Oryzias latipes: one gene and its partner. The protein of the gene in region 1 interacts with the protein of each later gene in a pairwise test. Links are inferred from orthologs where the notes say so. Each region holds a gene or a part of one and is shown in the gene's direction. Other genes may lie near its edges.

Evidence for each region.
Region 2: the proteins of rnf41 (region 1) and asb6 interact in binary tests that used the Homo sapiens proteins (3 or more experiments, as listed by UniProt). The link is inferred for Oryzias latipes from reciprocal best matches to the Homo sapiens genes RNF41 and ASB6.

Annotation. Positions count from the first base shown.
Region 1 is NC_019865.2:22,245,465-22,249,664, reverse strand, and holds the start of rnf41 (E3 ubiquitin-protein ligase NRDP1), read left to right. Parts: upstream 1-1,346; 5' UTR 1,347-1,621; intron 1,622-3,297; 5' UTR 3,298-3,317; coding exon 3,318-3,407; intron 3,408-4,200. UniProt on the Homo sapiens protein: Acts as E3 ubiquitin-protein ligase and regulates the degradation of target proteins. Polyubiquitinates MYD88. Negatively regulates MYD88-dependent production of pro-inflammatory cytokines.
Region 2 is NC_019867.2:19,701,695-19,706,192, reverse strand, and holds the start of asb6 (ankyrin repeat and SOCS box protein 6), read left to right. Parts: upstream 1-1,604; 5' UTR 1,605-1,723; intron 1,724-2,090; 5' UTR 2,091-2,124; coding exon 2,125-2,234; intron 2,235-2,362; coding exon 2,363-2,538; intron 2,539-3,718; coding exon 3,719-3,825; intron 3,826-3,906; coding exon 3,907-4,015; intron 4,016-4,103; coding exon 4,104-4,190; intron 4,191-4,296; coding exon 4,297-4,498. UniProt on the Homo sapiens protein: Probable substrate-recognition component of a SCF-like ECS (Elongin-Cullin-SOCS-box protein) E3 ubiquitin-protein ligase complex which mediates the ubiquitination and subsequent proteasomal degradation of target proteins.

The DNA of each region.
Region 1 (4,200 bases):
GTTTTTTATTTTTTAACTCTTGTTCTGAGATGTAGGTACTCCCAGTTGCTGCTAACAACTGATTGACCTACTTTGGGTTGGCCTATGGAATAGGGCAACTACAGAGTGGTGTTTTACAAAACTAAATCCCAGTATTTGTTGAAGATAATTTCTTTTTCCATTTCCAAATTGAAGGCTAAGATTATTACTTTATAACAATAAATGTCAGAGATGGGCTAAAAAAGTCAATGTCCCAAGAAGACAGCCTAAGGACACCTTTTCTTCTCATTTGCACTATTTTTTTTTTTTTTTTTTTTTACAGATTTGCAGTTGATGTTTGCAGGGCAATAAGACCAGCAGTTGTCTTGGCAAACAGCTAATCACAATTAAGAAAAATATGAGATTCTGCAACCAGAGATAATTCTCCACAGGATTTAACCTGTAAAGATGGCCAAACCGCCGCTCACTGTAGATGGATGTTACTTTCTGAATTTGGAAGTGGGAAGAGTCGAATACCTTGCTGACAATTCTGCCTTCAAGTCAATCAAAGTGTTAAATTTAGGGAACAATTTTGGGTGTGATTTTTATTTTTTTATGCAGGAGTGACTAATGCAGCAACAATGTTGGACTTGCAACAAACGCTGGATGAAAAATGGGACGCCATTACACAGGAGTGTGTAACCAAACTGGGGACCGGTGGCGACTGAGGCTGTTGTAGCTGACTACTGAGGTTCCTGTTTATTAAATTAATTGTTTTCTGTCTTTTGACATTTCAATCATTCAAATCACCAGCAGCAGAATTTAGAAAAATGTTCATGGTCTGGAACCCACACTCTGTATTTACAATGGCTCACATGTTCCTTTCTGCTGTTTCCTTTGGGTAAAGAATCATGAAAAGTTTTGTTAAAGTTTACTATGTATGCAGGGCATAATGTTATTAACATGATAAAAAAAATATGTCAGAAAATGTTCCATTACTTCATGAAAAAGGCAGATGAACAAAGAAAGTACAGTAACTGACATTTCCAAGATAGAAAAAAGTTTAAAAACAAAAAGAAATATCTTCAATTATTTCTATCAAATTAAACTACACAAAACAAAATAAAAATAATATACTGTAAAAACTAAAATATTTCCTGGGAAAAAAGTTTTTATTGTGTGTCAAAATCCTTAGAATGTAATCGCTTTCTGGTTTTCTAAAAACATGCCTAAATACATCTGGGTGGTCATTTTAAAGTATAACTGTTTCTCTATATGGTTAAATAAAGGTTAAATTAACACATAAAAAACGTAATCGGTCCTCGACAGCACGAAGACTATGGAATAGACCAATTTACAAACAAGAATAGGGGACAGCGGCAAAAATCTATTCCGTTTTTCAATCTCATTTCGAACACATCTTTCATAACATATATAACAGGCTAAAGGAAAAGTGATCATTAAACCCCATTGGAATATTATCAACTGTTTGATTTGAAGAACAGAATGACATAGACCTTCAGAACCTGTGGTAGAGTCCTCCTCTTCCTGCCAACGTTCAAGTGTAGGATGTAGCAAGACGTGGCTAGCACATTGCTAGCGAAGGTACAACGTTTTTAAACATTTGTAAACCTGACAAGGACCTGTTTTGCTTCATGCCTAAGTAAGTATAGTAGTGAATTTTATTTTTCTCATAGTGTTTTTTATTAAAGTCGCTTTCATAAATATTTGTGCTATCTGAGATCCGTCGGGTTAGCTTGAGTGCTAACATTCATGAAAACCACTGTTTTGGTAGATGCTAACCCTATACCTATATTTGACATAAGTCAGTTCCTAATAACCCGTGACATGTGTTAATTTTTCTTTCTGAAGAAACACTAAATTTGTTATTTACTTTTATGTGTTTGTGTAAAATAGTTTAACATTATATATTAGTAAACTGTCAAAGGGAAAAGAGCTCCACGTAGCTAACACTAGCTTTAGCGGTACGCTAACTTTTGCTAAAGCTATCGTTTAATGATGCTAAAATCGAATTGTCAGGTGAATCTAACTCGAACCGAATTGGTGTCAGTATCCTATTTGGAAAGTACTCAGATATTGAAATCCAATCCTCAGATTTTAACCCAGTATAAATGTGGATGCCGATGAGATGCGGCTGAAAAATAACACAACTTCGGCTCAAGGGCACCGCTTTTTTATGCTGCGCATCAGCAGAACTGTTATCACGTAGGCTATTTTTTTTTGTCTCGAATAGTTTGTCTTTTCATATATGGTTAAATAAAGCTCTTAAACCCCTTATATTATCTGTTCTTGACACAGTAATTCTGGGAAAGAGTTGATTTTCTGGGGGTTCTTTTAAATCACAGCTATTTAAATATGTCAGCAAACATGGGAATTTATTTCAATGCTTTTTGTCCCAAAAAGCTAAATTAAACAAATAACAAACAACTTTACATCAAGTTTTTGATTAACATTGGTCTTTATTTATTTATTTGCCAGATTTTAGCATTAACGAGCAAATAGCTGTATAGGTATAGGTATAGTTTTACTTTCTTTAAAAAAAAAATATATATAGAGAGAGAGAGAGATAGATATATATATAGAGAGAGATATTTAAGAGGTACTAAGCATTTTTTTAACTAAAGTAACTCATGCAGAGAAATAATGTTTTCACCCTTTTCTCCTTTTTGCAAGTTTGGTAATTTTATTGTATGAATGGCATGGAAAAATATGAACACAATGCTTTTTAAGTAGTCCAAAACCACAAAGCTTCTTGTTGAAGATTTTTTTTCCCATGAAACTGTTGTGCTTTTCATTTTAGTAGCTCAGATGACTAACCTCAACAAGGGTGATGGACACATTTTTGCACAGATTTGGGCTCAAACAGTTTAATTACTTGCTGTTGTAATTTTCTTCAGCTTGCTGACTGATGTTTTCAGACTTCTTGTTCTTAGTTAAATCCCTGTGAGACCTTGACTAAAGCAGTTTTATGCGGTCACATGAAGTAGATGTTTTTTTTGTTGTACAAAATAAATCCATTTGTTTATGTTTTTAAACAATTGTGTAAAGGGTAAAATCTCAGTATGCCCTACTTTTATACATCCATTTCAGCACTTATTTTATGTAAATGAAGATATTACTAAATGATTTGAAAGTCTAAAGTCATTGAAATTACATATAATTAATCATTCCCATTTAAATGCTGAAATTTAAAGTGTAAAATTGTATTAATTGACATGTATTAATACAATTGTGTTGTTTCCTTCTTTGTGCATCACAACCGTTTGAAGTACTGACATTTTACTGTTTGTTTGTGTGCTACCTGTTGTTGATGCTCAGGAGGTTGTGGGTAGTGTACCATGGGGTACGATGTTACGAGGTTCCAGGGTGAGGTGGATGAAGACCTCCTCTGTCCTATTTGCAGTGGAGTGTTGGAAGAACCAGTGCAGGCAAGTTTACTTTTACAAGGAATTGGATATACAGTGATCCCTTGCTATAACGCGGTTTGCTTTTCACGGTTTCGCTACTTCACGGATTTGCATGGTGCATTGTGTTCTGCATTCTGATTGGCTAAAAAGTCACTCCGCTTCTTCTCTACCTGTGCGTCAATAACGTTGCAGTTTAATATGTGCACGTACGTAAATCAGCTTGCCAAATTTTCATTACTACGTGCAAATTCTCTTGATGGTGGCAAGTCGGTGTATAAGGATCTTTTTGCAAAGCAGAAAAAAGAGCGACAACAACTGCCTATCACTATGTTCTTCTCCCGAACAAACACAGCTGCACCGCGGGCTTCAAAAGAAGAAAACACTGCAGAGCTGAGTCAGGATGCAGCGGCTCAGTCTGAAGAGCAGTGAAATACACCTGAGTCACTATTTGTCCCACTGTACTTTGTATTTTTTTCATAATCATTTTAAATTTTCTCCCGTTTAATCCAATACTCGGGTCGCGGTGGGCGGGGCTAATCTCCGCGATTTGAAGCCTTCTGTTCACATTCATTAAAATTATTATTTGACAGTACAGTACAGAGTTATTTGTTGAAAAAAAGGTTTCTAAAGTACTTTTATTTGTGAAACAAATGCTTGAGCCTGTAAATTGGTTTGTTCTTTCTTTTCAATGTATAATAGAGTATTTAATTGTATAATAATAGTTTAAAAAAAATAAAGGTTTCTACTTCACGGATTTTGCCTATCACGGGGTCTTTTTGGAACGTAACCCCCGCGAAAAACAAGGGTTTACTGT
Region 2 (4,498 bases), on another chromosome or scaffold:
TGAATATTTTTTACAGTGTTTGCTGGAGTTTGCATTTCAAATACAAACATATGTCTTGAAGTCTAACACTTAGATTAATTTTAACCTAAATGTTGGGTTATTAATGTTAGTAATATATTTTTGTTTTACTTTTGGAGCACTACTTACTTGTTTGGTTACAATGGTTTCGTTTTTAACCCAATTTTTGTTTTATTTACTCGAAGTAAAACAACATTGCAAAAATTTTGTCTTTTTTAAACCTTGGAGTTGGATTAAAAACAGCCCAACTTGGGTTATTTAGAATCAAATCAAAAACATTATTTAGACTTTTGATTTATGATTAGCCAACGAATTACAAATTACAGTTTTACAAATGCTTTCAAATAAAAGAGGTAATATGCTATTTTCTTTTTACATATCTTGCAATTTTACGACGGAGTATTAGGGCCACCAAAAAAAAAAAAATTAGAGCCACCCAAAAAAAAAAGTAAAATTACGAGATTTTATCTCGTAAATTTAGGAGATAAAAACTCGTAATTTTACGACTTTTTATCTCATAAATTTACGACTTAAAATCTCATAAATTTACGAGAAAAAAGTCGTAGATTAAGGAAAAAACACCGAAGTTGTCCGTTTATCGGAACCTAGCTTGAAGATGAAGTATGTGGAGCCTTTTGTGAAGCTTCATTTCCGGATTATTATAGGTGTAAAACAAAGAGATTCTGAACCTTTTGGCGACTCAAAATCAGATTAGTTTCCGTGTAGCAGTCTTTCCGGGGTTCAGTGTCAGTAAAGCGGAGTTTAATATGTAAAATAAGGAGCTCAGAGACACGTTTGGGTGTAGACAATCGCTGCAGCCTTTATTCTCCTTTTCATTCCCATATCCTGAAGTTCATTTGTCTCATTACGTCATGAACCTGTCATCCCAACACCAATGCGGAAGTAAACAGTCTTACAAACGCCCCCTCCTGCAGATGAAATGTCCCGTTTCAGCATAAAACAATAAAGAGGAATGAAAATAGTGTTTTATATTGGCTTTGGAACGTTGAAAATGCCAAAAAAAGTGCTCCTCCTTTTGTGTGACGGAAGCGTCACACAGACGTAGAGTCTTGTCTTTGGTGGAGGAAGAAAGGATTCAAGCAAACAGCTGCAGGGACACCGACGACGGCTTCATCGGGCTGCAGAGATCCTGCAAACCAACCATCAATAAATAAAACTTTAATGAATCGGAAATCAAACAAATGACCTTCCAGACATTTGGAACGTTATCAATAAACATTCAGCTCACCTGTTCAACAAAGTATAGTCGGTCTTCTCTGCGGCTGCACGGCGTTCACCTGCTGCTCTGCATGCTCACTTCCACTGTAATCTCCTAAAATTACGAGTTTTTTCTCCTAAATTTACGAGTTTTTATCTCCTAAATTTACGAGTTTTTATCTCCTAAATTTACGAGATAAAATCTCGTAATTTTACTTTTTTTTTTTTTTTGGTGGCTCTATTTTTTTTTTTTTTTTTTTTTGTGGCCCTAATACTCCGTCGTACAATTTAGCTCACTCTTATTAAAAAAAAAAAAAAAAAAAAAAAAAAAAAAGAACGGCATTACATTAAAAAAAAGTTTTTCTTTTTCTCACAAACACATTTTTTCCCAACGGACAGTTTCCTAGGAACTATTGTGCGTCTAGTGGTTTCAGTGGGAATTAATCAAGCGCCGGCCAACTTCCTGTTGTGAAGAGGGAACTCTGTTGTGAGTAGCTGTGAAATTGCTAAGATTCGAACAAGTTTTTCTTTTTTCTAAGCAATTCTTCTCACTTCATCTTATGTTCAGTTTTGTCTATCGTGCAGTAATTTGTAGGATTTGTTCTAGAACCATACGTGACTCTCACGACGTTCTGTTTCTGCTCTTAAATTTTAAAACGAAAAAAAAAAAAAAACGAGATAGATCATAGTTGCCGCTAACTCTGATTGGCTACATCGTGTGTAACGATATTTGGAAAAAAAAGAACAGTAGAAGAAAAAATGTAATATCAACAATTTAGGGCTACACAGTGCTGTATGAACGAAATATCGTTTTTCTTACCTTGAAAGTCTCTAACACGTTTTTCCTGCGTTAGAATCAGACGTGTCTGAGACCGGACCGGAAGAGCCATGCCTTTTCTCCATGGATTTCGGAGAATCATCTATGAATATCAGCCACTGGTAGATGCTGTCATGCGCGTAATTGGTTTGGAGGAAGACAACAGGCATCCCGAAAACTGGTACGTTTGCCAAACCAATATTTAGCAGATGGTCGATGATTGATGGTTGATTTTTCCCTCATCATGAGGGGAAAAAAAAGGCCCTGTAGGTTTGATTGAGACCTTTTCTTTCTTATTTGCCTTGTTAGGAGTCCCGATGATGAGCCCAGAAGATGCAGCTCTTTAGTGGAGCTTCTGGAGCAGGAGTCCCAGTCAGAGATGTTTGTTGAAGGCATCAGTTATGCACTTTTTAAGGTGGCAGAGCAGGGATTCGCTTATGCTGCCAAAATCCTCCTACGCTATGGAGCTGATGTCAATTTTGAAGGTAAATATTCAGATTTGGTCACGTTTCTCCCCAGTGGAAATCCATGTAATTATTGCCTAAATGATTTTCCTCCATTTATGTCATGTTAGAAATCTCATTCATTTGTAAATCCAGTTTTGGGCTAATTTTAATGATGATTCATTTTGTAAAATTGGCAAATTAGTATTAAACTAGTATTAATTTAAGTGAAAGCAACTCCAGTTGACCTACACGTGTGTGCGTGTTGCTTGTTCTTCCTTTTGAACCTGTCCCCTGAAGAACCGGTGAGCTACATTCTTAGCTGCGCTCAGGAACCTTTTGACATTTGACCCTCCCAGTGATGCTGAGTGTTAAGCTCCGCCCTCAGGGGCTGACAGTCCACCTCTAGGCCGTTGAGTAATTGGACATTTCAGTGAGAAGATGAGTGTTTGTCACTGGATTGATCAAAGCTGTCGTCAGTCTCTGCTGTGGTGACCTCTACTGGTTTTGGATGCACACTTCCTCTCCTATGTACTCAGTGAATTCCTGCAGAAACAGCTTCATTCATGTTTAACATGAATAAAGTTGCTGCAGTAAGTTAGTTTTCAAAACGGATCATGTTTTTGCTGTTCTTTTGCATTTAAATTGAAACTATGTTTTCTTGACAGCTGTTTTAAAGTAAATATTATTACAGTTGATGTAGGATTTTTTTTATTTCATTTCTGTTTTTGGTTTTGGATCACAGTTTTCAGAAATGTTATCTAATATTCTCATGTTTTAACTGCCACAGCAATTTAACAACATTTGAAAACATTAATCATTTTTTCAATGCAATTTTGAACTTTTTTTTGTTCTTTTTTTTTCTTCTCCCCAGGACATTGTGTTCACTGTTCTGATTGGCTAAAGGCCTTGTGTCAGTCAATCTCCTTCTTGTGTCTCCTGTACAGAATGTGGGCAGTTTGCCAGTTTTATATGAACCTTTTCATTCTATAACACTGGATTCATTTTGTGAGTTTAAACAAGAGAAAAGAGTAAAAATGTTCCTGTCTGTCTGAGAAAATGTATACGGTGTGTAGTGAGGGAGGGGTTTTACAGCCGTTAAACATCTGGAATCCTACTTCGCGGATTTACCTATCGCGGGTTATTTTTAGAACGTAACCCCACAGTAAACAAGGAAACGCTGTAATCAATGAATGTGAACTTTTTTTGTTTTGTTTTCAAGACCCAGTGTCCTATTACAACCCACTGCACATAGCTGTGTTGAGGAACCGGCCAAATATGGTGAGGCTGCTTGCTGGACACGGAGCAGACATCGAAAAGAGGGACCGAGTGAGAACTTAACCAATTTTTCTTCTACATTTCTCAATTGTTCTGGATATGGGAATATACAATCCTGCATGTCCTTTTCAGATTCACGAGAGCAGTCCCTTAGATTTAGCGAGTGAGGAGTCGGAGAGGCTGCCCTGTCTGCTCACCTTATTGGACCTCGGTGCTGCTGTGAACGCTAGAGACAAGCACGGTGCGTTTAAATCGGCCGACGTCATTCCACAATATCCATCTGTGCCCTTTTAATTCTAAAAAGGGTTGCTTTCCTCTCAAATCGAAAGGGAAAACGCCGCTGCTACATGCATTAGCGAGCAGCGATGGACTTACTGTGCACAACATCGAGAACATACAGCTGCTACTTGAGAGGGGTAAGAAGGAAATCATTCTGATCTTTTTCATCTTGCTTCCTTGCTTCAACTGTTCAAATTGTGCCAGTGGTATTTTAGAATTGATTGTAAAACGTTTTCCTTAAAGGTTCTGATGTTAGCGCTGCAACAGTCGATGGAGAAACCGTTGAATCATCTTTGGTGTTTCTGGTCAAAGAGGCTCTGGATGCCAGTGTGGAGGACGCTGCTGAGATTGGCGGCTTCTGCTTGAAAGTCACCCGGCTACTGCTAGCTCACGGCGTGGACCCCAGCAGCTGTCTGAGTGAGGATGGCGAGCCCTCCTTGACCCA